Anolis sagrei: one gene and its partners. The protein of the gene in region 3 purifies or fractionates together with the protein of the main gene of each other region. This does not show direct contact. Links are inferred from orthologs where the notes say so. Each region holds a gene or a part of one and is shown on either strand. Other genes may lie near its edges. The genes, in order: RPP40, RPP30 and RPP21.

What was found.
Region 1: the proteins of RPP21 (region 3) and RPP40 purify together in Homo sapiens (co-immunoprecipitation; 3 studies listed by BioGRID and IntAct, counting the BioPlex papers as one, with this or other methods). This does not show direct contact. The link is inferred for Anolis sagrei from reciprocal best matches to the Homo sapiens genes RPP21 and RPP40.
Region 2: the proteins of RPP21 (region 3) and RPP30 purify together in Homo sapiens (co-immunoprecipitation; 3 studies listed by BioGRID and IntAct, counting the BioPlex papers as one, with this or other methods). This does not show direct contact. The link is inferred for Anolis sagrei from reciprocal best matches to the Homo sapiens genes RPP21 and RPP30.

Annotation. Positions count from the first base shown.
Region 1 is NC_090024.1:86,369,597-86,376,793, reverse strand, and holds the start of RPP40 (ribonuclease P protein subunit p40), read right to left. Parts: upstream 3,081-7,197; 5' UTR 2,965-3,080; coding exon 2,839-2,964; intron 127-2,838; coding exon 1-126. UniProt on the Homo sapiens protein: Component of ribonuclease P, a ribonucleoprotein complex that generates mature tRNA molecules by cleaving their 5'-ends. Also a component of the MRP ribonuclease complex, which cleaves pre-rRNA sequences.
Region 2 is NC_090023.1:184,795,072-184,802,851, reverse strand, and holds the start of RPP30 (ribonuclease P protein subunit p30), read right to left. Parts: upstream 3,041-7,780; 5' UTR 2,996-3,040; coding exon 2,914-2,995; intron 1-2,913. UniProt on the Homo sapiens protein: Component of ribonuclease P, a ribonucleoprotein complex that generates mature tRNA molecules by cleaving their 5'-ends. Also a component of the MRP ribonuclease complex, which cleaves pre-rRNA sequences.
Region 3 is NC_090022.1:23,636,434-23,644,167, reverse strand, and holds the start of RPP21 (ribonuclease P protein subunit p21), read right to left. Parts: upstream 3,044-7,734; 5' UTR 2,904-3,043; intron 1-2,903. UniProt on the Homo sapiens protein: Component of ribonuclease P, a ribonucleoprotein complex that generates mature tRNA molecules by cleaving their 5'-ends.

The DNA of each region.
Region 1 (7,197 bases), on a different chromosome or scaffold from region 3:
AATAAACTCCTCTGTTACAAACTCATGAAGGGGCAATTTCTTCACCAAGTAGTACTCCCCAAAGTCTCCAACTGCATTTTTCAGTATTTCTGGAACCATTCCACATTCAGGGATCAACAAGGACACCTATTCACAGAACATTTGGGACACGAATGAGATCTAATTGACAAATCTGACTGCAAAATCTCTTTTTAAGCAGCTCTTTTGATAACATACAATTATAACAATACAAAGTACTTTAAATGAAATATTGCAATAGCAAGTAAAATTATTAAGATGCTATTATGCACACATCAAATAATACTTTTCAGTTTCAGTTTCAGTTTTTTTCCCATATCAGAAATGGCTTGAGAAACTGCAAGTTGCTTATAGTGTGCGAGAATTGGCCATCTACAAGGACTTTGCCCAGGAGATGCCCAAATGTTTTACCATCCTGTAGGAGGCTTCTCTCATGCCCGGACAGACAGGAATTCACCCCATCTCGCGGATTCAAACTGCCGACCTTCAGGGTCTCACTACCTCTGAGGATGCTTGCCATAGATGCAGGTGAAACGTCAGGAGAGAATGCCTCTAGAACATGGCCATATAGCCCGAAAAAACCTACAACAACCCAGTGATTCTGGCCATGAAAGCTTTCAACAATGCATTGCATTTACTGCGTTTCCATCTGACTCTTCCCTCCACATCTCCCATTTCACTCTAATTTAATGCAGTTGGACACCAGTTAACTGACATGCTCAGTGCTATGGGATCATGGGAGTTGTAGTTTGAAAATGTCTTTAGCATTCTATGGCAAGTAATGTTGTTGCCCCAGCAAACTATAACCTTGACTTCTTTGGCTAATAAGAATAGCCAATTGAGCAACTGGAGACCTGTAGTTTCGGGGGACTCAGACCAGTATCTTGGCCTGAGATCCACTTTGGACCATAGACCAACCCTGAAGCAGCGCTCTCTCTTTCTGGATAAAAACAGGCTTTCTGCGAGCTGCTTGGGACAGATAGTTTTCTCTGTGACTGGTGAATTATGTGGAATTTTTAAGATGTACTTGTACTGCTGAAATAAACTTGACCTAGTGCTACAAGCAGGTTGGATCAAAAGCAATGCCACACTTAGATCCTTTGTAGGAGCAATAGCTCTCTGGGACTCCTCCAGGTCTCCGCACATAGTCAGGAGTTCCCTGGGCTTGAGAGGGCAATATAATGGAAGACATGCCATATGTTGAATTCCAACTACAGAAGCTGTTTATTGCGGACATAGTAATAAGGACAAGATGCATGGGACACAAAATGTCTGTCACACCCCCAAATGGGGTCGCAAGGCTTTTATCGCTTTGACAGAGAATTAAAGACACATTCTCATTGGTCTAAGCTGGCTGATACAATTTTCACTGCCTCTATATGACTTTGACAGGCATGAAGGCACACATGGGATCTTAACAATGGCACAACAATAATCTATTGTTCTCTGGCCATGAACACTCAGTTGGAAAGTATCTATAGGTCAATTACTTCAAGCGGCTGGGAAATTAGGGAAGTATTAGAGAGTACTTTATGTACAACTCTGGTCCTTGGCAGCCAGTTAGGCCCCAATAGGGCTAGATTTACACTGCCATATAATCCAGTTTCTGAATCGAGATTCTTTGCTTTGAACTACATTATGAGAGTCTACACTGCCATATAACCTAGTTTTAAGATGATATTCTGGATCTGGAAACTGGGTTATATGGCAGTGGGTTCAGAAACTGGGTTATATACCATATAACCTAGTTTCTGAATCCAGAATATCACCTTTAAGCTAGATTATATGGCAGTGTAGATTATAATCTAGTTCAAAGCATAGATCCAGCCCTAGTGTGTGTTATCTATCTGTCTTCGTGCTTGATTTCAGGGCCCTTTCCAGCTCTATGTAATTTAGTCCTTTCCAACACTACACTCCATTCCTAAGGAATGTATAGGCCAGGGGTCCTCAAACTATGGCCCGGGGGCCGGATATGGCCTTCCAAGGTCATTTATCCGGCCCTTGCTCAGGGTCAACCTAAGTCTGAAACGACTTGAAAACACACAATAACAACAACAATCCTATCTCATCAGCCAAAAGCAGACCCACACTTCCCATTGAAATACTAATAAGTTTGGGCTGTTGTAGGTTTTTTCGGGCTATATGGCCATGGTCTAGAGGCATTCTCTCCTGACGTTTCGCCTGCATCTATGGCAAGCATCCTCAGAGGTAGTGAGGTAAAACGTTTGTGGATCCCTGGTATAGACCATAATGGGAGAACCAGTATGGCATGGCGGTTGGAGTGTTGGGCTATGACTCTGGAGACCAGGGTTCAAATTCCAGCTTGCCTCTGACAGATTCGACATAGAATCACCGCAAGTTGCAAGTTCTCAATGAGGGTAAACAACAATACCTCACTGAGAACTTCAGGATACAACTTTGTGTTGTTGTTGACTGCCATCAAGTGGAATTCCACTTATGGAGACCCTACAAACATACAAGACATGGTGCCATAATGGAATTGCCACTAGCAGGCCAGGGCTCGTGGAAATAAGTGAAGTGCACTGAGGTTCATATGCATGAGGGTAAGGGTTCATCTACACCCTAGATTTAATGCAGTTTGACACCACTTCAACTGCCCTCAGTCAATGCTATGGAATCAGGACCATGGAAAACTGCAAAGGATGGTGGCATCACCAGAGGGCGGGGGGGGGAGGAGTATTCTACTGCCTTAAAGTGACGTCACGCTTCTCTTCAGAGAGCCTCGACCACGCCCCCTCCAGCAGACCAACAATTCTTGCCGCCACGCGCCGCCCCCCCTCCTCCCTCCCGCGCGCTCACCCGGCAATTGAAGGCGTGGTTGCGCACGTGCGCCGCGTGGCGGGAGCGCTCGTGCCGCACGTGGCTCCTCTCGCACACCAGCAGGTGGCGGGGAGTCTCGCGGAGCCATCTCAGAGGGACGAACATGCTTTCCTCTTCCTTTTCTCTCCGGTCGCGCGCCCAAGCTGAGAGAAGGGCCAAGGAGGGGGCGGGGCCTGAACGTCACGCGCAGCCGGGAGAGAGAGAGAGAGAGAGAGAGACGAGGAGGAGGAGTTGTCAGAAGGGGGCGGGGCGATCTGTGCGCATGCGTATTTTCCTGCTTGGGGGAAGCGCTCCTCCCAATACCTCGTTGCCCTCACTGGAATGGCCAAAGTGAAGTTGTTGCTTCTTGTCCCAAGGAAAGAAGTTTTGATTCTTGTGGTTATAATAAGCAATGTCTTTAGCAGCAGTATATTGTCAGGAGCTGTCTCTCTTATTATGCAAAATATTAGGACAGGGAGTAGAATTGTACTGAATATACAGTCCATACTTCAGGAAATAAAGCCCAACTGCTCATTGGAGGGAAGAATAGTAGGGGCAAAGATGAAGTACTTTGGTCACATCATGAGAAGAAAGGAAAGCTTAGAGAAGACAATTATGCTGGCGAAAATGGAAGGAAAAAGGAAGAGGGGCCGACCAAGGGCAAGGTGGATGGATGGTATCCTTGAGCTGATGGTGGTGACGGCCGACAGGGAGCTCTGGCATGGGCTGGTCCATGAGTTCACTAAGAGTTGGAAACAAATGACATTATGGTGATTTTGTCAGTGGCAATTGTTTTTAATGCTAGCCAAGGACTGTTGCAAAGGTGTAAAAAAGCAGGGCATGTGGCCATGCAAATGTTATTAACAATGTAGACCACACAAGCTAGGAGAGGCTGCAGCCGTTTGCTTTTGCCCAAGTCTATTGGGAAGGGCGAGATTCTATCTCCTTCCTGTCTGCAAAGTCAATTGAGTGCAAACTACTTTGCATTTTGAACTCAGTTTGCAGCAGTTAGAAAGCTGGGAGGACAAGGAAGACTATGAGTTATGGAAGGAGAAACTGTTGTAATTTTTCTTAAACAGCTGAAAAATGGGATGAGAGAATATTTACCAGAGTTCTCTGTGCCAAAGAGGGACAGGAAGATGGTATGTATACATAGAATCAAAAGATTGTGAGCCCAGAAATTGGTATTTAGCACAGCTGTCATTTTGTTACTGCTTATTATTCAACATTTCAGAAAGTTTTGCACATCATCCAGCTTTGCCTTCTGCCCATCTCTTCTGTAGCTGATGTTTCTGGTTCTAAATACCATGTTAAAAAATAGTTGCCACCTGACAACGTGGAGCTGTCAGTTTCCTTTATTTTCTTAGCATATTAAGGATTTGTCACTTTGAAAAGAAAGCCACTGCAGTTAAGATCTGAAATTGCTTTTTACGTGCTTTCTTCTTGTCCCTTTTTTGTTTCATTTTGTGTCTTTTAAAACTGGGAGCACAGACTATGTCATTACTGATCTTTTAAACGCCCCGAGAGCCATTTACAGTTGAAGAGCAGGGTGAAATACTTCAAATAAATAAAATAAGGTGTAGGATCTAAATGCTTGCATCTGGAGCTGAGTGTCAAATCTGCACTCATTACATTCATTGAATTAGACTCAGGTATGTCATTCTCAAAGCCATAGGGGAGGCACGCATGAAAAACAAGTGTGTGCCATCAAAATTACATACAGGACAAAATATAATAAATCAATTGGTTGTCCTCCATTGTTTACGCAACGCTTTTTCCTGAAGTGACATCTCTAATCAATGTTCATTTTATACACACCTAATTGCTTGCTTCAAAGAGCAAGATGTTCCAGGCAATTGAATTTTCTGAATATATAATACCTAATGTTTGTGAATACCTGTTGAGGCAGGAGTTTCCAAGCAACTGTTATGCATGTTTTCACATATGACAACAAAAGCATTTCTTTCTCTTCATGATACAGTTCAACAAAATAGAGTTAGACTATGTTCCCCCAATTACTGTCATTTCACTAATGTCACTTACACTATGTAAAAAGTTAGTAGTGAATTTTACCTTTCACTCTTAACAACCGTCTTGTGAGAAAGTAAATATGGTCAGTTTTGATTACAGTGCAACTTACTTATCCACAGATTCGATATCCACAGTTTCACTTAACCACGTTTCAAAAAGTATTCCCCCCCCCACACACACACACACATACAAACACTCCAGAAGTGTTTGTGGACCTTTCTAGGCTCTCCAGTGCAATTAAATGGTGCGCTTGTAGTCAAAATATAGGGTTTGTTATTATCTATGGTTTCAGGAACCCACTGGGTGGTATTGATTTTGGATCGTCTCCCCACAAATACGGGGTTGCATTGTACTCATATTGAGTACTTATGTTTTATAGCCACCCTGTTATCATGAGAAAACCCATAGATGAAGCAATATAAACAATGCAGATAAATCTAAGCATAATATTAAATTCTTTGTTTCTCAAACAATTATTTGAATAGTTTCCATAAGGGAACTTCAACTGGATAGATATCATATAGGGGTGTCAACCTTTTACTTCTACTAAGTTCCTTATCAGAATGTTTGTCATATTTGTTACTTAAATAGAAAGAAATCGATGCCCATAGGAAATTTCCTCCCATTGAGGACAACAGAGGCACAATGAGAGTATTCTGATCAAAAGCATGGTCAGTGGTAAGAGTGAAATCTACCTTCTCTGACATGATTTCAGGCTTCTGCCATTCCCCCTTTCAATGGCTGTCTTACCAAAAATCAAGCATGACATGGTAAACTACTGTGAACTTTACTCTTGTAGTTTTCAAATGGATGGCTAGTGCTTTGGTTATAATATTTCATAATAGGAGTTGGTTGCGTTAGTGCTTTCTTGTGTATCAGGAGTGACTTGAAAAACTGCAAGCCGCTTCTCGTGTGAGAGAATTGGCCATCTGAAAGGACGTTGCCCAGGGGACATCCGGATGTGTTTGATGTTTTACCATCCTTGTGGGAAACTTCTCTCATGTCCCCTCATGGGGAGCTGGAGCTGACAGAGGGAGCTCATCCATGCTCTCCCCAGATTCAAACCTCAGACCTTTTGGTCTTCGGTCGTGCCGGCACAAGGGTTTAACCTATTGCGCCGCCGATGGCTCCTTATTGCTGATGCATTGTTATCTTAGTATATAAAATGTTAAGGTGTTGAAGCACTAGTTCCCAATTTGAAAATAACATTTATTATCCTACAAATAAAAGTAAGTGTTTAATGACCAAATAAGGCATCTTGTCATTTTATATGAGCAATCCTTATGCATTATAAAAATATTTCATTTTAAGATGTGAAAAGCTTTTAACCTCTGGCAATCTCCTTTAATATTCTGAGTAAATTGACAAATGAATGACCTAAGAAAATACAATTGAGTAAATCCAGTTTTATGAAATTACAGAAGAATATATTATCAGGTAGCCTGTACAGAATGCTTTCAGGTAATAGTCTACAAAAACATAAAGTAAGATGGAATTTGGAAAGTTATTTCTTGTAATAGATTGCAAAATAATTGCTATTTCTTCAAATTCTATTTATAAAAGAATACCGTTCAAACTATAAGGGAAGTACTTCTTGTGAATGCCCATTCCTTCCTCTACATATGAGAATTGTGCCCAAGGCTGAAAAAAGGCACTTTGTTGCTGATGAAGACTAAAAAAAAAATATATCAGATTGCAATATGGAGCAGAAAATCAAATTAAAGGTTAATGCAATTTTAATGTTCATGCAGCCAGCCTAATTTGTTGCAGTGAAGGGCATAATTAAAAGCTAATTAAGTAAAATGAATTCTTACACTTTTAATGCCATGTTTATTCCACTCTACCATCTGGAAAAGCCATCAGAGAACCACACCTTCCATTTAAAAAAAATAATATTTTGTTAAAATAAAACCTGTTATTGCATTCAAATATAAGTTGGTATCATGTTGGGGCATTTTTCCAGCATAATCTCTGATTACACTGGGATTGTACTTTATATGTTTGTATTTGGAGGTATCAGTACCCTCTTAGGTAAGAAGTTATTTATTGCAGACGTGAATAACAGTGCAATATGCTAGTTTGATGATGATGATAAAAATTGTTAATTTCCTCTCCTCACAGCTCAAGGCAAGGTACAACACAGTCAAAATACATTCACATAGAATACATACTATAAAATACATATATTAAAACACATTACTATAAATGCATATAGATTAAAAGACATCGTACAAATATTAAAATACAATAGAAGTGGAATGTGAATTTAAAATTCATAATTCAAAATTGACTGGGGAGGCCTGCTGGAAGAGATAGGTCTTAATTTGT
Region 2 (7,780 bases), on a different chromosome or scaffold from region 3:
AGTTTTGTTCTTTTGCCGTTTTGTGAGTGTGTTGCTGTGTTGTTTTTCATTTTGAGTAGATATGTTTGTACCTTGTGGGTTGTGTTATGGGCACGGGGATTTTAGTTAAGTTTCGTTGGGGGATTTTTGAGTTTTGTTGTTTTGCCGTTTTGTGAGTGTGTTGTTGTGTTGTTTTTCATTTTGAGTAGATATGTTTGTACCTTGTGGGTTGTGTTATGGGCACGGGGATTTTGGTTAAGTTTCGTTGGGGGATTTTTGAGTTTTGTTGTTTTGCTGTTTTGTGAGTGTGTTGTTGTGTTGTTTTTCATTTTGAGTAGATATGTTTGTACCTTGTGGGTTGTGTTATGGGCACGGGGATTTTAGTTAAGTTTCGTTGGGGGATGTTTGAGTTTTGTTGTTTTGCCGTTTTGTGAGTGTGTTGTTGTGTTGTTTTTCATTTTGAGTAGATATGTTTGTACCTTGTGGGTTGTGTTATGGGCACGGGGATTTTGGTTAAGTTTCATTGGGGGTTTTTTGAGTTTTGTTGTTTTGCCGTTTTGTGAGTGTGCTGTTGTGTTGTTTTTCATTTTGAGTAGATATGTTTGTACCTTGTGGGTTGTGTTATGGGCATGGGAATTTTGGTTAAGTTTCGTTGGGGGGTTTTTGAGTTTTGTTTCCTCGTTGGATGCCCCTAACAAATTTATATATATAGATTATTGTCATTATAAAGTAGTTAAGACAACATCACATCCAAACCTCAGAGGTCTTCAGCCAATAAGCTGAATTTTATTTTCACAAGAAGAGTAATTTCAAAAAATCATCATAAAAATAACAATCCATTGATTATATGAAGTGCTCCTTGTATACCAAGCAAACACAAAGGAATTAAATTTTGGTGCAAACTGATTCAATTCGGTGTATGTTAGCAAGAAAAGGAATCACTCATTTTGCAATTTGTGATCATTCAAAGTATGTTGTGTACATTACTTGTATAGTTAGTGTAGATTCATATAATGCCTTGAAATGCATTTACACTGACCATACTGCATGATAGGGCAGTGTAGATGGGGATAGAAGCGGAAAGAGATATCAGATAATGTGGATTGTCTGCTTTGATATTCTGTGCCCCCTTCTACACACCTCAATAAAATCCCACATTTTCTGCTTTGAACTGAAATACATGGCAGTGTGGACTCAGATAACACAGTTCAGAACAGACATTATGGTATTTTCTGCCTTGATATTCTGGATCAACTGGCAGTGTAGAAGAGACCTCGATCTAATCCAGTTCAAATAATCTGGATTCCGAAAATGGGGGCCTTTCTACACTGCCATATAATCCAAATTATCAAAGCAGATAATCCACATGACTGAGCCGCAGGGAGAGGCGGATAAGAAATCTAATTATTACAGTAGAGTCTCGCTTATCCAACCTTCGCTCATCCAGTGTTTTGTATTATCCAACACAGTTTGCCTCCCACCTGTTTCACTACATTGCAATGTTTTGGTGCTCAATTCATAAATACAGTAATTACTACATAACGTTACCATATACTGAACTGCTTTTTCTGTTGATTTGTTGTAAAACATGATGTTTTGGTGATTAATTTGTAAGATCATAACATAATTTGACGCTGATCTGGGATATATGACAGTGTGGACTCAGATAACCCAGTTCAAAGCAGATATTGTGGGATTTTCTGCCTTGATATTCTGTAGTGTAGAAGGGCCCTGGATGTATACTATCATATAATCCCGTTTAAACCAGACAATCTGTATTCAGAAACTGGGGACCTTTCTACACTGCCATATAATCCAGATTATCAAAGCAGATATAACCAACATTATTTGGCTGCAGAGAGGCGGGTAAGAAATAAATTATTATCTGCTTTGAACTGGATTATATGAGTCTACATTGTCGTATAATTCAGTTAAAGCGGATCATCTGGATTTTATATGGCAGCTAAGGCCACTTACACACAGCTGTATAAAATCTCACATTATCTGCTTCGAACTGGGTTATATGGCAGTGTGGACTCAGATAACCCAGTTCAAAGCAGATATTGAGGGATTTTTTGCCTTGACATTCTGGAATATAGGTTTGTGTGGAAGGGCCCTTACATGGATGAATATGATGACTCAGTAAAGGGCTACATCTACACTGAAGAATTTATTACCCTGGCTCTATACAATGTGATCATGGGAGTTGTAGTTTCGCCCTTCCAGACAGGCCCTATATCCCAGGATCAGATCCCAAGTTATTGTCGAAGGCTTTTCATTTCTGGAATCACTGGGTTGCTGTAGATTTTTCGGGCTGTATGGCCATGCTCTAGAAGCATTCTCTCCTGACGTTTCGCCTGCATCTATGGCAGGCATTCTCAGAGGTTGTGAGGTCATAACCTCTTAGGATGCCTGCCATAGATGCAGGCGAAACGTCAGGAGAGAATGCTTCTAGAACATGGCCATATAGCCCGGAAAACCTACAGCAACCTAGAGATCCCAAGTTGTCTGCTTTAAACTGGATTATATGAGTCCACACTGCCAGATAATCTGGGATAAACAGAAAACCTGGAATCAGATCCTGAGATACAGGGCATGTCTGGAAGGGCCCTTTGGTAGAGAAGGCTAAAGACCTGATCAAACTACAACTCCCACGATCTCATAGTATTGATCTAGTGCAAAGTGCAGTTGTAACGCATTCATTCTACAGTGTAGATGCACCCAAGTCAAAGTGCATCAGGAGGTGTTTCTTACGGAGCCAAGGGACAAATTAGTTAAGGCAGAAGAGGGTCCAAAGAGAGCAAAGGGAAAGGAGAAACAGTGCCAGCCAGCCCTTTATCGCAGCCTGGGTCTGGATCTCTGAGGGAAACACGTGTCCACGCATTCCCACGCATTCCCAGGCTGCCTGATTCCCTGCCCCTGACACACACTCACGGTGCGCCGCGGTTTCCACCAACTTCCGAAGCGCCTCCTTCTCCGGCAAGTGAGGGATGTTCAGATCCACAAAGCCCGCCATGTTGCACCCGCCCACGTGGGCTAGAGCCAGGCCAGAAAGGCAGCCCTTCCACGCCCCGCCCACATCGCGCCCCGTTGCATGCTGGGGATTGTAGTTCCCTCCCCCAGCAGTAGACTCTCAAGCTCACCAGCATCCTTAGTAGATGCCAAATGAATGTAGTTTGTGCTTGCTTAAGAGCAACTAAACATAGGCACAACTAATACTATACAATACCATTCTGTAAACTCTGGGCCCTTCCAGACAGGCCCTATATCCCAGGATGTGATCCCAGATTATCTGTTTATCCCGGATTATATGGCAGTGGGGACTCATATAATCCAGTTCAAAGGAGATAATCTGGGATCAGATCCTGGGATATAAGGACTATATATACTACTAATATGATATTATAATTATATATTTTATATGACATGTAATATTACTAATAATATTACAATATAATGGTATTGTACAATGTAGAAATATATAATACTGATATTGTACTATGCTAATAATGTAATATATTGTATGCATACATATCTTGTGGGAGCCCCCGGTGGCGCATTGGGTTAAACCGCTGAGCTTGTAAACTGAAAGGTCGCAGGTTCGAATCTGGGGAGTGGGATGAGCTCCCGCTGTCAGCCCCAGCTTCTGCCAACATAGCAGTTCGAAAACATGCAAATGTGAGTAGAAGGTAACGGGAAGGTAAGGGCGCTCCATGCGGTCATGCCGGCCGCATTACCTTGGAGGTGTCTACGGACAACGCCGGGGAGTGGGATGAGCTCCCGCTGTTAGCCCCTGCTTCTACCAATCTAGCAGTTCGAAAACATGCAAATTTGAGTAGAAGGTAACAGGAAGGTAATAGCGCTCCATGCTGTCATGCCGGCCGCATTACCTTGGAGGTGTCTACGGACAATGCCTGCTCGTCAGCTTAGAAATGGAGATGAGCACCAACCCCCAGAGTCGGACACGACTGGACCTAATGTCCGGGGACAACCTTTACCTATATATATCTTGTAAGCCGCTCTGAGTCCCCTTTGTGGTGAGAAGCTGGCATATAAATGTTGTAAATAAATAAATAAATAAGGCCCCTTCCACACAGCTGTATAAAATCCATATTGAACTGGATTGTATGGCAGTGTGGACTCAGATAATCCAGTTCAAAGCAGGTATTGTGGATTATCTACCTTGATATTCTGGATGATATGGCTATGTGGAAAGACCCTGAAAGAACTGAGAAAAGGAGCATCAAAACAAAAACTTTAATGTTTGGACATAATACATACATTTTGGCATTGAATGCTTGCCACTTTGTTACTTTTGTTGTAAACTATCCTGAGTCCCTTTGGGGAGATATTGCAATATATAAACAAAGTATTATTATTACATTTTTAAAAGTTACATCATTTTTAGAAATAATGTAAGTTTTGGAAATAAATACAGGAAAATGTGCATTGTGTTGTTTTTATTTATTTATTTATTTATTTATTTACCGCATTTGTATACCATCTTTCTCAGCCAGAGGCGACTCAAGGCGGTTCATAGTCGGCAGTGATTAGATGCCATAACAATTATCAAAATACAGTTCAAACAATTATAAAAACAATTCAACATTTAGTATGTAATATAAAAGAAACAATAATGTCTATAAAAACAAAGTCCTCGGCGTCTCCTTACTAAAATTGTTGTCCATATATTCGTTTTGTCTAATTATGCTCTATATATTCGTTGTCCATATATTCGTTTTCATCTAATTATGCTCCAATAGAAAAAGCTTGCTTGAAGAGCCAGGGCTTAACAATTTTGAGGAATGCTAGAAGGGAGGTAGCCAATTTTATATCCCTGGGAAGGGCGTTCCATTGCCGAGGAGCCACCACTGAGAAGGCCTTGTCTCTCGTCCCCTCCAAATGCATCTGCAAGGAAGGCGGGATCGAGAGCAGGGCCTCCCCGGATGATCTTAAAGTCCTAGCAGGTTCATAAGGAGAGATACGTTCGGATAGGTAAGCCGAACCGGAACCATTTAGGGCTTTATAGGCTAAAGCCAGCACTTTAAATTGTGCCCGGTAGCAGACTAGCAGCCAGTGGAGCTGGCGCAACAGAGGAGTCGTGTGCTCCCTGATTCAAAACAATTTTTTTCATTTTTTTAAAAAAATACTTTTTATTATTTTCCCCAGAAAAACTAATTTTTGCTTAATTTTCTCATTCTCCCTTCAACTGCTTGACATCTTAGGTATCCTGAGATGATCATTTCTCTTTCACTAACTTTAGGGCCAGCCTTGTGCCATGCTTTGAACGGATATAACACCATTTTGTACTTGGAGGCATTACCCTGCTAACTTTCTTGATGACAGTTTACAGCAGGGCTGGGAATCATAAAAAGTTTGGCAGATGTACTTTAACTGTGCTTCTCAGCAGCCCTGGTCAGTAGAGCCAACCATAAGGAATGCTGGCATTGCAGTTCAACAATATCTCAAGGGCAACATGATTTTGCTTTAGAGCCGCAGTTCCCTAACTGTGTTCCTTGGAACCCTAGGGTTCTGCAAAAGCAATGTAGGGGTTCTGCAAAGAAGCCAATATTATACTGATTCCAATAGAAGATCAAGATCCCCTACAAATACAGAATTACAGACCCTTTTCATTGCTAAACACAAATTATACAATATTTGCTTTAATACAGGCAAATAGATTAAAGCAGGGGTTCTCAAACATTTTCAGCCATGGAACTCTTTTGGAAGCAAAACTTTTACGTGGAGCCCAAGAATGTTTATATATTATCCTATATATTGTACTATATAAAATGTATATATAGTATAATATAGAGTATAATATAAAATAGCAATAATAATATGATATTATAATTATAGATTTTATATTACATGTAATATTACTAATAACATATTATACTATATATACTGTATATATAGTATAATATATAGGATAATATATAATAACAATAATAATATGATATAATTATAGATTTTATATTACATGTGTTATCACTAATAATATTACAATATAATGGTATAGTACAATATAGTAATATATAATACTGATATTGCACTATGCTAATAATATAATATATTGTATGTATGTGTATATATGTGTGTGTGTGTATGTGTGGGTATATATATATATATATATATATATATATATAGTAAGCCACTCTGAGTCCCGTTGGGGGTGAGAAGGGTGGCATATAAATGTCGTAAATAAATAAAAAATAAATATGTTCCCCCTGGTGGTGCACCAGGTTAAACCACTGAACTGCTGAACTTGCTGGCAGTTCGAATCTGGGGAGCGGGTGAGCTCCCCCTGTAAGGCCCAGCTTCTGCCAACCTAGCAGTTCGGAAACATGCAAATATGAGTAGATCAATAGGTACCACTTCTGCGGGAAGGTGATGGCGCTCCGCAGGAAGGTAATGGTGCTCCGTGCAGTCATGTTGTCCACATGACCTTGGAGGTGTTTCTGGACAACACTGGCTCTTCAGTTTAGAAATGGAGATGGGCACCACTCCCTGGAGTCAGACATGCCTAGACTTAATGTCAGGGGAAATCTTTACGTTTACCTTTATGTACATATATCAGGCATGGGCAAACTTTTTGACACATTGCATTTTAAAATTTGACAGCAGACTGGGCTAGGGGCAGATGGATGGAGTGTGTTTGTGTGAACTGCTTGAAAAAAAACAGTAATAATCATCATAATGATAATAAACTCTATTTGTAACCCACCCTATCTCCCTCAGGGCGGTTTCTAGGAAAAATGGCAAACAGTCAATGCCATAAAACAATACAAAATGAACGAATACTCCCAAGAATAAAACATCTAAGGCAAGTACAATAACTACTTCATAAATTTAAATAATTAAATAAAGCACGTGAATCTAATTAATGGGAATCTAACAAATTCCAATGACACTGCACATATCTTATTCATTGTGCAAGAAAAAAGGAAAAGGAAAGAAATAATACAATATTAAAAATGGAAAACAATTTTAACTAAGAAGAAGGGAACCACGAAGTCCCTCAGTATGCTAGACAGAGCCCCAAGGGCTCTGCAGAGCACACTTTGAGAACTGCTGGATTAAAAAAAGTGCTAACTGGATGGATACATGAAGACCAAGCAGGTTTCTTACCTAGAAGACAAATGAGAGAGAACACGAGAATGATACTCAATCTGATAGAATATTTTCATAAGTGTAGTGAAAAATAAGGAGCCCTCCTGTTCTTAGATGCAGAAAAAGCATTCAAAAATTTTAATTGGGAATTCATGAAAGAAACAGTCACAATGGGAAAATGTGGACAAAACTTCCTGAATGGATTAGAGATAATATATACTAAACAATTTGCAACATGAAATTTGAATCTGCACCACTGATTGACTTTTGGGTAGGACTGATAGACATATACCTTTCAGGAGCTGGAATGGCTACCCAAGCTCTGTTCCCCTTTGTGTCTACCTATCAATGCAAATCCAGTGTTTAAACTTATGCTTGCACACAAAAAATGCTTACACTTAATAAATGTGAAATAAACATCCAAGCACTCAAGCATTCACCATCTCTCAAAGCAATTAGTTTATTCCCAGCTCACAAATGGAAAACAAAATGAAGGTGGACAGCAAAAGAGATTTAAAGATGGGATTAAAGCTAACCAAAAATGTGGAATAAACATAGGAAACTGGAAAGCCCAGGTCCTCGAGTATTCTAACGGAACGTTAGTTATTACCAACAGCGTTGTAGATTTTGAAGGGGTGCAAATGGAGAAAGGGGGAAGCATGCCAAGAAGAAGGTGCATTAAGCAAAC
Region 3 (7,734 bases):
GGCTCTGAAAGGGCCTGAGGCTGTTAGGAATTGTGGGAGTTGAAGTCCAAAACACCTAGAGGGTCCAAGTTTGCCCATGCCCGATCTGCACAGGAGAATTAATGCAGTTTGACACTACTTTAATTGGTCTTGTTGCATGAAACCCGCCTGGGCAAAATTATTATTTGTTCCTTTCATGCCTGCAGCAGAGAGTTCCAAAGGCTTCGGACCAGTGGTTCTCAATCTAGGGTCCCCAAATGTTTTTGGCCTTCAACTCCCAGAAATCCCAACAGCTGGTAAACTGGCCGGGGTTTCTGGGAGTTGTAGGCCAAAAACATCTGGGGACCCCAGGTTGAGAACCACTGCTTCAGACACTTAAAGTGTTCTGGTCTCACTGCCAGGGGTTGCTTCCTTAATTGGGGCCAACAGCCTGGATCAATGCTATGGAATTCTGGGAGCTGTAGTTTGGTGAGGCACCAGCACTCTTTGGTAGAGAAGGCTAAAAGACCTTGCAAAACTACAGCTCTCCAAAATTCCATAGCATTGAGCCATGACAGGCAGCGCAGAGCATTGTGTCCTCCATCTCTGAAGCCAAGAAAGATCAGTGGATCAAGTTGATCACAGAGGTCGACATGGGCAGGAGCAGCCAGAAGGCGTGGAGGCTGCTGAGACGGCTGAGCAACGATCCCTCACAAACTAATACCCATGCCAACATAAAGGCAGATCAGATAGCACACCAACTCTTGAAGAATGGGAAACCCAACCTTGCCACCAAAGTAGGAAAGAAACCAATAGCCAGACAACCAGAGATTGAGAACAATAACCTCCATGAACCTTTTACATCTACTGAATTGGACATGGCTCTCAACAAATGTAAGAATGGCAAAGCAGCTGGCTTGGATGATCTACGGATGGAACAAATCAAGAACTTTGGCCCAAAAGCAAGGCGCTGGCTGCTGGAGCTGATGAACAACTGCACTGCATCCTGTCAGATCCCCAAAATCTGGAGGAAAGCAAGAGTCATCGCCATCTTGAAGCCAGGCAAAGACCGTAATGACCCAAAAAGCTACAGACCAATCTCCCTGTTGTGCCACCTCTACAAAGTTCTGGAGAGACTTATTTTGCATAGAATTATGGAAAATATAGACCCCTGTTTGATCCCACAGCAAGCTGGCTTCAGAAAAGGCAAAAGCTGCACATCGCAAGTGCTGAACCTGACTCAGCACATAGAAGATGGCTTTGAAAGGCAGCAGATCACAGGAGCTGTCTTCATAGACTTGTCAGCAGCCTATGATACTGTGAACCACCGCCTCCTCCTGAGAAAAATGTATAATATCACAAAGGACTACCACCTCACCCGCCTCATAGGAAACCTGCTACAAAACAGGAGCTTTTTTGTTGAGTTCCAGGGCCAGAGAAGCAGATGGCGGAAACAGAAGAATGGCCTGCCTCAGGGGAGCGTGCTTGCTCCATCCATGTTCAACATCTACACAAATGACCAGCCACTGCCAGAAGGGACAGAGAGTTTCATCTATGCTGATGATCGTGCCATTACTGCTCAAGCAGGGAGCTTTGAGATGGTAGAACAGAAGCTCTCCGAAGCTCTAGGCGCTCTTACTGCCTATTACAGGGAAAACCATCTGATCCCTAATCCATCTAAAACACAGACATGCGCCTTTCACCTTAAGAACAGACAAGCATCCCGAGCTCTGAGGATTACCTGGGAAGGAATCTCACTGGAGCATTGCAGCACACCCAAATACCTGGGAGTCACTTTGGACCGTGCTCTGACCTACAAGAAGCATTGCCTGAACATCAAACAAAAAGTGGGCGCTAGAAACAACATCATACGAAAGCTGACTGGCACAACCTGGGGATCACAACCAGACACAGTGAAGACATCTGCCCTTGCGCTATGCTACTCTGCTGCTGAGTATGCATGCCCAGTGTGGAACACATCTCACCACACTAAAACAGTAGATGTGGCTCTTAACGAGACATGCCGCATTATCACAGGGTGTCTGCGACCCACACCACTGGAGAAATTACACTGCTTAGCCGGTATTGCACCACCTGACATCCGCCGGGAAGTAGCAGCCAATAGTGAAAGGACCAAGGCAGAGACATCTCCAGCTCATCCCCTGTTTGGGTATCAGCCAGCACGCCAACGACTTAAATCAAGACATAGTTTTCTTAGATCTACAGAGACACTCGCTGGAACACCCCAGCAAGCGAGAGTCCAAAAGTGGCAGGCCCAAACCCAGCACCTCAATTCATGGGTGATACCAGATGAGAGACTCCCCCCTGGGCACTCAGAAGACTGGGCGACTTGGAAGGCGCTGAACAGATTGCGCTCTGGCACCACGAGATGCAGAGCCAATCTTAAGAAATGGGGCTACAGGGTGGAATCCTCGGCATGCGAGTGCGGAGAAGAGCAAACCACTGACCACCTGCTGCAATGCACCCTGAGCCCTGCCACATGCACGATGGAGGACCTTCTTGCGGCAACCCCAGAGGCACTCCAAGTGGCCAGATACTGGTCAAAGGACATTTAACCAAATACCAAATTTTGCAAAATCTGTATGGTTTTTTTTTTTTTTTTTCTCTTTCTTTCTTCTTTTTCCTTTTCTTTTTAATCTCTGTGTTTGTTTTGCTCTGTTAGAATTGTAATACAATGGTTGCTGATGACACGATAAATAAAAAATGACAGTTAAAGCAGTATCAAACTGCAGTGGAGATGCAACCCATCCTACAGAGAACAAAACAAATAAGCAAGCACACAGGTCTTTCAAGCAATAGACTGCTACAGATCAGGGCTGCAACCCTGTGCAATATATACAAGCACGTGGGAATGCAATACACGTGTAAAAACAACTCAGATACAGAACCTGCTGCAGCCAAAGCAACACAGAGGAGTTCCTTGCCTTTTAATTCTCCTGGAAGAATCCACTTTGCTTTTCCTCCAGTTGACTCTTAAACCCAGGGATGAGAAAAAAGCTTCTCTCTTTGATTAGTCGCCTTAATAAAGATCCTGGTTGGGATGTGTTCCTGTTTTTGGAGCAGCAAAGGCCTGTGGGAAATGTAGTCCCTTCCGGTTCCTTTCAATGAAACTGTTTGTGCAAGGATGCCCTCTAGCCAGGAGGACTAACAATATACCAGGGTTGAATGAAAAGTAATGCCTCCACCTTCGTTACTTGGGTTTGGATGGGAATATTTTAATAAATCAAACGCAGAAATAATCCTTAGAATGTGCTCTTTAACTACCACTATTCACTTTTTCCACATAATCACCGGACAATTGGATACATTTCTGCCAACGATGAACAAAGTTTTCTGAAGCCGTCACGGAACAAGTCGACACTGTTTCCGCAACCAGCGTCTCATAGTTCTCTCAACATCTTCATCAGAAACATAATGATGTCCCTGCAGATCTTCTTTCATTGTCGGAAACAGATGGAAGACAGCCAGTGCTAAATCTGGACTGTATGGAGGATGCCGAATTCTGGGCACCACAATTCAAGGGAGATGTTGACAAGCTGGAAAGTGTCCAGAGGAGAGCGACTAAAATGATAAAAGGTCTGGAGAACAAGCCCTATGAGGAGCGGCTTAAGGAGCTGGGCATGTTTAGCCTGAAGAAGAGAAGGCTGAGAGGGGATATGATAGCCATGTATAAATATGTGAGAGGAAGCCACAGGGAGGAGGGAGCAAGCTTGTTTTCTGCTTCCCTGGAGACTAGGACGCGGAACAATGGCTTCAAACTACAAGAGAGGAGATTCCATCTGAACATGAAGAAGAACTTTCTGACTGTGAGAGCCATTCAGCAGTGGAACTCTCTGCCCCGGAGTGTGGTGGAGGCTCCTTCTTTGGAAGCTTTTAAACAGAGGCTGGATGGCCATCTGTCAGGGGTGATTTGAATGAAATATTCCTGCTTCTTGGCAGGGGGTTGGACTGGATGGCCCATGAGGTCTCTTCCAACTCTTTGATTCTATGATTCTATGGTGGGATCCTGTCTCTGAAGTTCTGCAGTGTACCCATCTTGCACAGATCTTCTGATAGCCAAGCAAAGCAATAATGTGACCCATATGTTCTTGTGAAATGCCGATTATGCTTGAAATTTCTCTCTGAGCGATACGACGATCATCCTGAATCAATCTGTCAACCTTTTGCTTGTGAAACTCGGTGGTTGCTGTCACAGGACGTCCAACTATTTGTTTGTCACGCAAATCAGATGTTCCCACCTCAACATCAACACAATCACCATAAACAGCTTGCATTCTCTGATGAATCTCCTTTGGGGTGACACCTTCTGCTGTCAAGAATTCAATGACTGCACGTTGCTTAAGTTGCATTGACCGACCGTCTGAGCAGGGTTCCATACTTTGCATTTTAACAACTCAACCGTTGAATGCTAAGGCTTTCTGCCAAAATGGAACTGTAGAGGAGAGTCTACTGAACAAGCCAGTACCTGCTGCATACCAGTGCTGCCATCTGTTGAGAAGTTACAAAGGTGGAGGCATTACTTTTCATTCAACCCTCGTATGTCTCTAGATCTGCAAGCTTATTATGCTGCAAGCAGATCCTTTGCATCTACGCCTTAGAATTAATGCAATGAGTGGATCTGCAGTGTAGAATAAATGCAGTTTGACACCACTTTAACTGCCATGGCTCAGTGCTATGTACAATGGGAGCTGTAGTTTTGCATGGTCTTATAATAGTTTTTTTTCTCCTTGTGTCAGGAGCTACTTGGGAAACTGCAAATCGTTTCTGATGTGAGAGAATTGGCTGTCTGCAATGACGTTGCCCAGGGGACACCCTGATGTTTTGATGTTTTACCATCTTTGTGGGAGGCTTCTCTCATGTCCCCGCATGGGGAGCTGGAGCTGACAGGGGGAGCTCATCCGCACACTCCCCAGAATCAAACCTCTGATCTGTTGGTCTTGAGTCCTGCTGGCAACAAGGGTTTAACCCACTGCGCCACCGTGTCAAACCCATTATCATCGAGGGTCACTACCGCCTTATGGTTGCCTTCAAAGGTGCTTTGAATCCATGGATGGAGAATCAGTGGATACAGAGGACCAACTATACCCACACAATGTTCAATGCTCAGTTTGGGTCCCCAGATGTTATTGAATGGCAAGGAGCCCCTGGTGGCGCAATGGATTAAAACCTTGTGATCTGGGTCCATTGTTAAAATGAATGAAAATTAGCTCTATACAAACTTAAGAAAATAACACCAGCATTAAAAGTCCAAACTATGTCAGTATTGGGTTGTAAGTTTTTTCGGGCTGTATGGCCATGGTCTAGAGGCATTCTCTCGTGACGTTTCGCCTGCATCTATGGCAAGCATCCTCAGAGGTAGTGAGGTTTGTTGGAACTAGGAAAAAGGGTTTATATATCTGTGGAATGGCCAGGGTGAGACAAAGGACTCTTGTCTGCTGGAGCTAGGTGTGAATGTTTCAACTAACCACCTTGATTAGCATACAATGGGCTGACTGTGCCTGGAGCAAACGTTTGTTGAGAGGTAATTAGATGTCCCTGCCTGCTTCCTCTCTGTTGTTGTGCTGTTGCAATTTTAGAGTTTTTTTTAATACTGGTAGCCAGATTTTGTTCATTTTCATGGTTTCCTCCTTTCTGTTGAAATTGTCCACATGCTTGTGTATTTCAATGGCTTCTCTGTGTAGTGTGACATGGTCAGTATGGTCAATATGTCAGTATTGTAAGTGCTGAACTATGATTTGCGGAGAACATATGCTTCAGGCTACAGCTGGAGTTATAATTCACAGCATTATCACATGCTTGTCATCCCATGACTGATAAAAGGAGAATGGAGTTGAGAAGCAGGTGAGAGTAGTTCTGAACATGGCCTTGCTCATTTCATGCTTCCTTCCCACCAGCTGGAAATCAGTCAATCAAGCACTTGTGCTCGTTTTCCTGTGTCCATGGTCTTGGGATTTTGTCATGTTCTCATTTTGTTTTGTTTTGTTGGTACCATTTGGAATTGTGCTTTACAGTGCTATGTTTTATTGATCTTTGGAACATTGTTTGCTTTTTAAACTTTTCATCTTTACTTTTTGATAAACTACAAAAACTTCTGTCTGTGTGCAGTTCTGGTGATTTTAGCAAGGTGAATATATTCTGAGTCTCCTTCTCTGGAGGTTTTAAAATAGAAGTTGGATGGCCATGTCAGGAGTGCTCAGACCCTATATTCTTGCATGACAGAACGAGATTGGACTGAATGACTCTTGATGTTTCTTCCAATACTGTATTCTATGATTTCCAGCATTAAAAGATGTTCTGAGGTTGTCCCTGGTGAAACGACCATCACAAATCAAGGTCCAAGCTGCGTTTCAATTCACACTTTACATACTTCATAATTAGGAGCTGAGACTACATTTGCACCTGAGACTTCCTTTCATGTTATGATACCACTTGGTATCATAATATGAAGTTTTTGTTTTTGTAGGCTTTGGCCTTCATTCTTGGGGCCTACCAAGTCACTCATGATAAGACTTCTCCACACATACAAACACTGTTGACTCAGGAGCAAATATTGCTGCATATAATCATTGACTGCGTGTTTGTTTCTCTCAAGTTGAGAAGTTCTGCTGAAGATGAGGTGTTCCACACTTCTTTGGAGTGAACTGTGAATTTGGCTGAGAATTTCCGAATTCTGCATTGTGTACATAGGAGGTGAGACTTTTCATTTCCTCCCTTCTGTGTGTGGCATCCAAATGCATGAAGGTTAAATGTGTGATATGATGAGGAACCTCTAATTCAGAGCTTTCTAAACTGTGTGTCATTACATGTTAGGGTGTCGGATGCAGCATGTAGCTGTGTCGCACAAACGTAATGAGAAACTTCTCAAGTCTATGAAAAATAAGCAACAAATCATATATTGTCGAAGGCTTTCATGGCTGGAATCACTCAGTTCTTGTGGGTTTTTTCGGGCTATATGGCCATGTTCTAGAGGCATTTCTCCTGACGTTTTGCCTGCATCTATGGCAAGCATCCTCAGAGGTGAGGTCTCTGAGGATGCTTGCCATAGATGCAGGTGAAACGTCAGGAGAAATGCCTCTAGAACATGGCTATATAGCTCAAAAAAACCCACAAGAACTGAACAAATCATATATTTTAAAAATAAACATGAAAAGTTTTTGTGAGGTGTATTGTGGCCCCATATATTTCATCATTATAATTTATGTATGTGTCAGTGTCTCCTATAAACAGTTGGCTTAACTTTTGATTTGCCAACAAATGTATTTCAAAGCAATTCCAATTTTGGATGTGTGTGTATGGGGGGGGGGGGGGGCACACACAAAAAGATGGAAAAAATGGCAGTGAAGCAAGAGAGTGTTGTTGTTGTTAGTGTTGTGTGCTTTCAAGTAGTTTCTGGTTTATGACAACCCTAATGATTTTCTTAGATTTGTTCAGAAAGAGTTTGCCTTTGGTCTCTCTCGTGGGCTTAGAGAATGTGCACGCCCAAGTTCACTGTCTGGGGTCATGGTCCAAAGAGTCATGGTCCAAAGATACACCATGTAGGTGCCCCTTGCACAGTTCTGGGAATCTTGAAGAGCTCCTTTAAAGCTATCCAAAACTTAGACTGCATCTATAGACCCAATGACATGGGAGCTGTAATCTAAAAATGCTGGGTGGTGAAAAAACCTCAAATCATGCAGCATATTTGATCTTCCATTAAACCACTGAGAACTGTTTCTTTTCAGTTGCTGAGTTCTGATCCAAAGTGGTTGCCTCCTC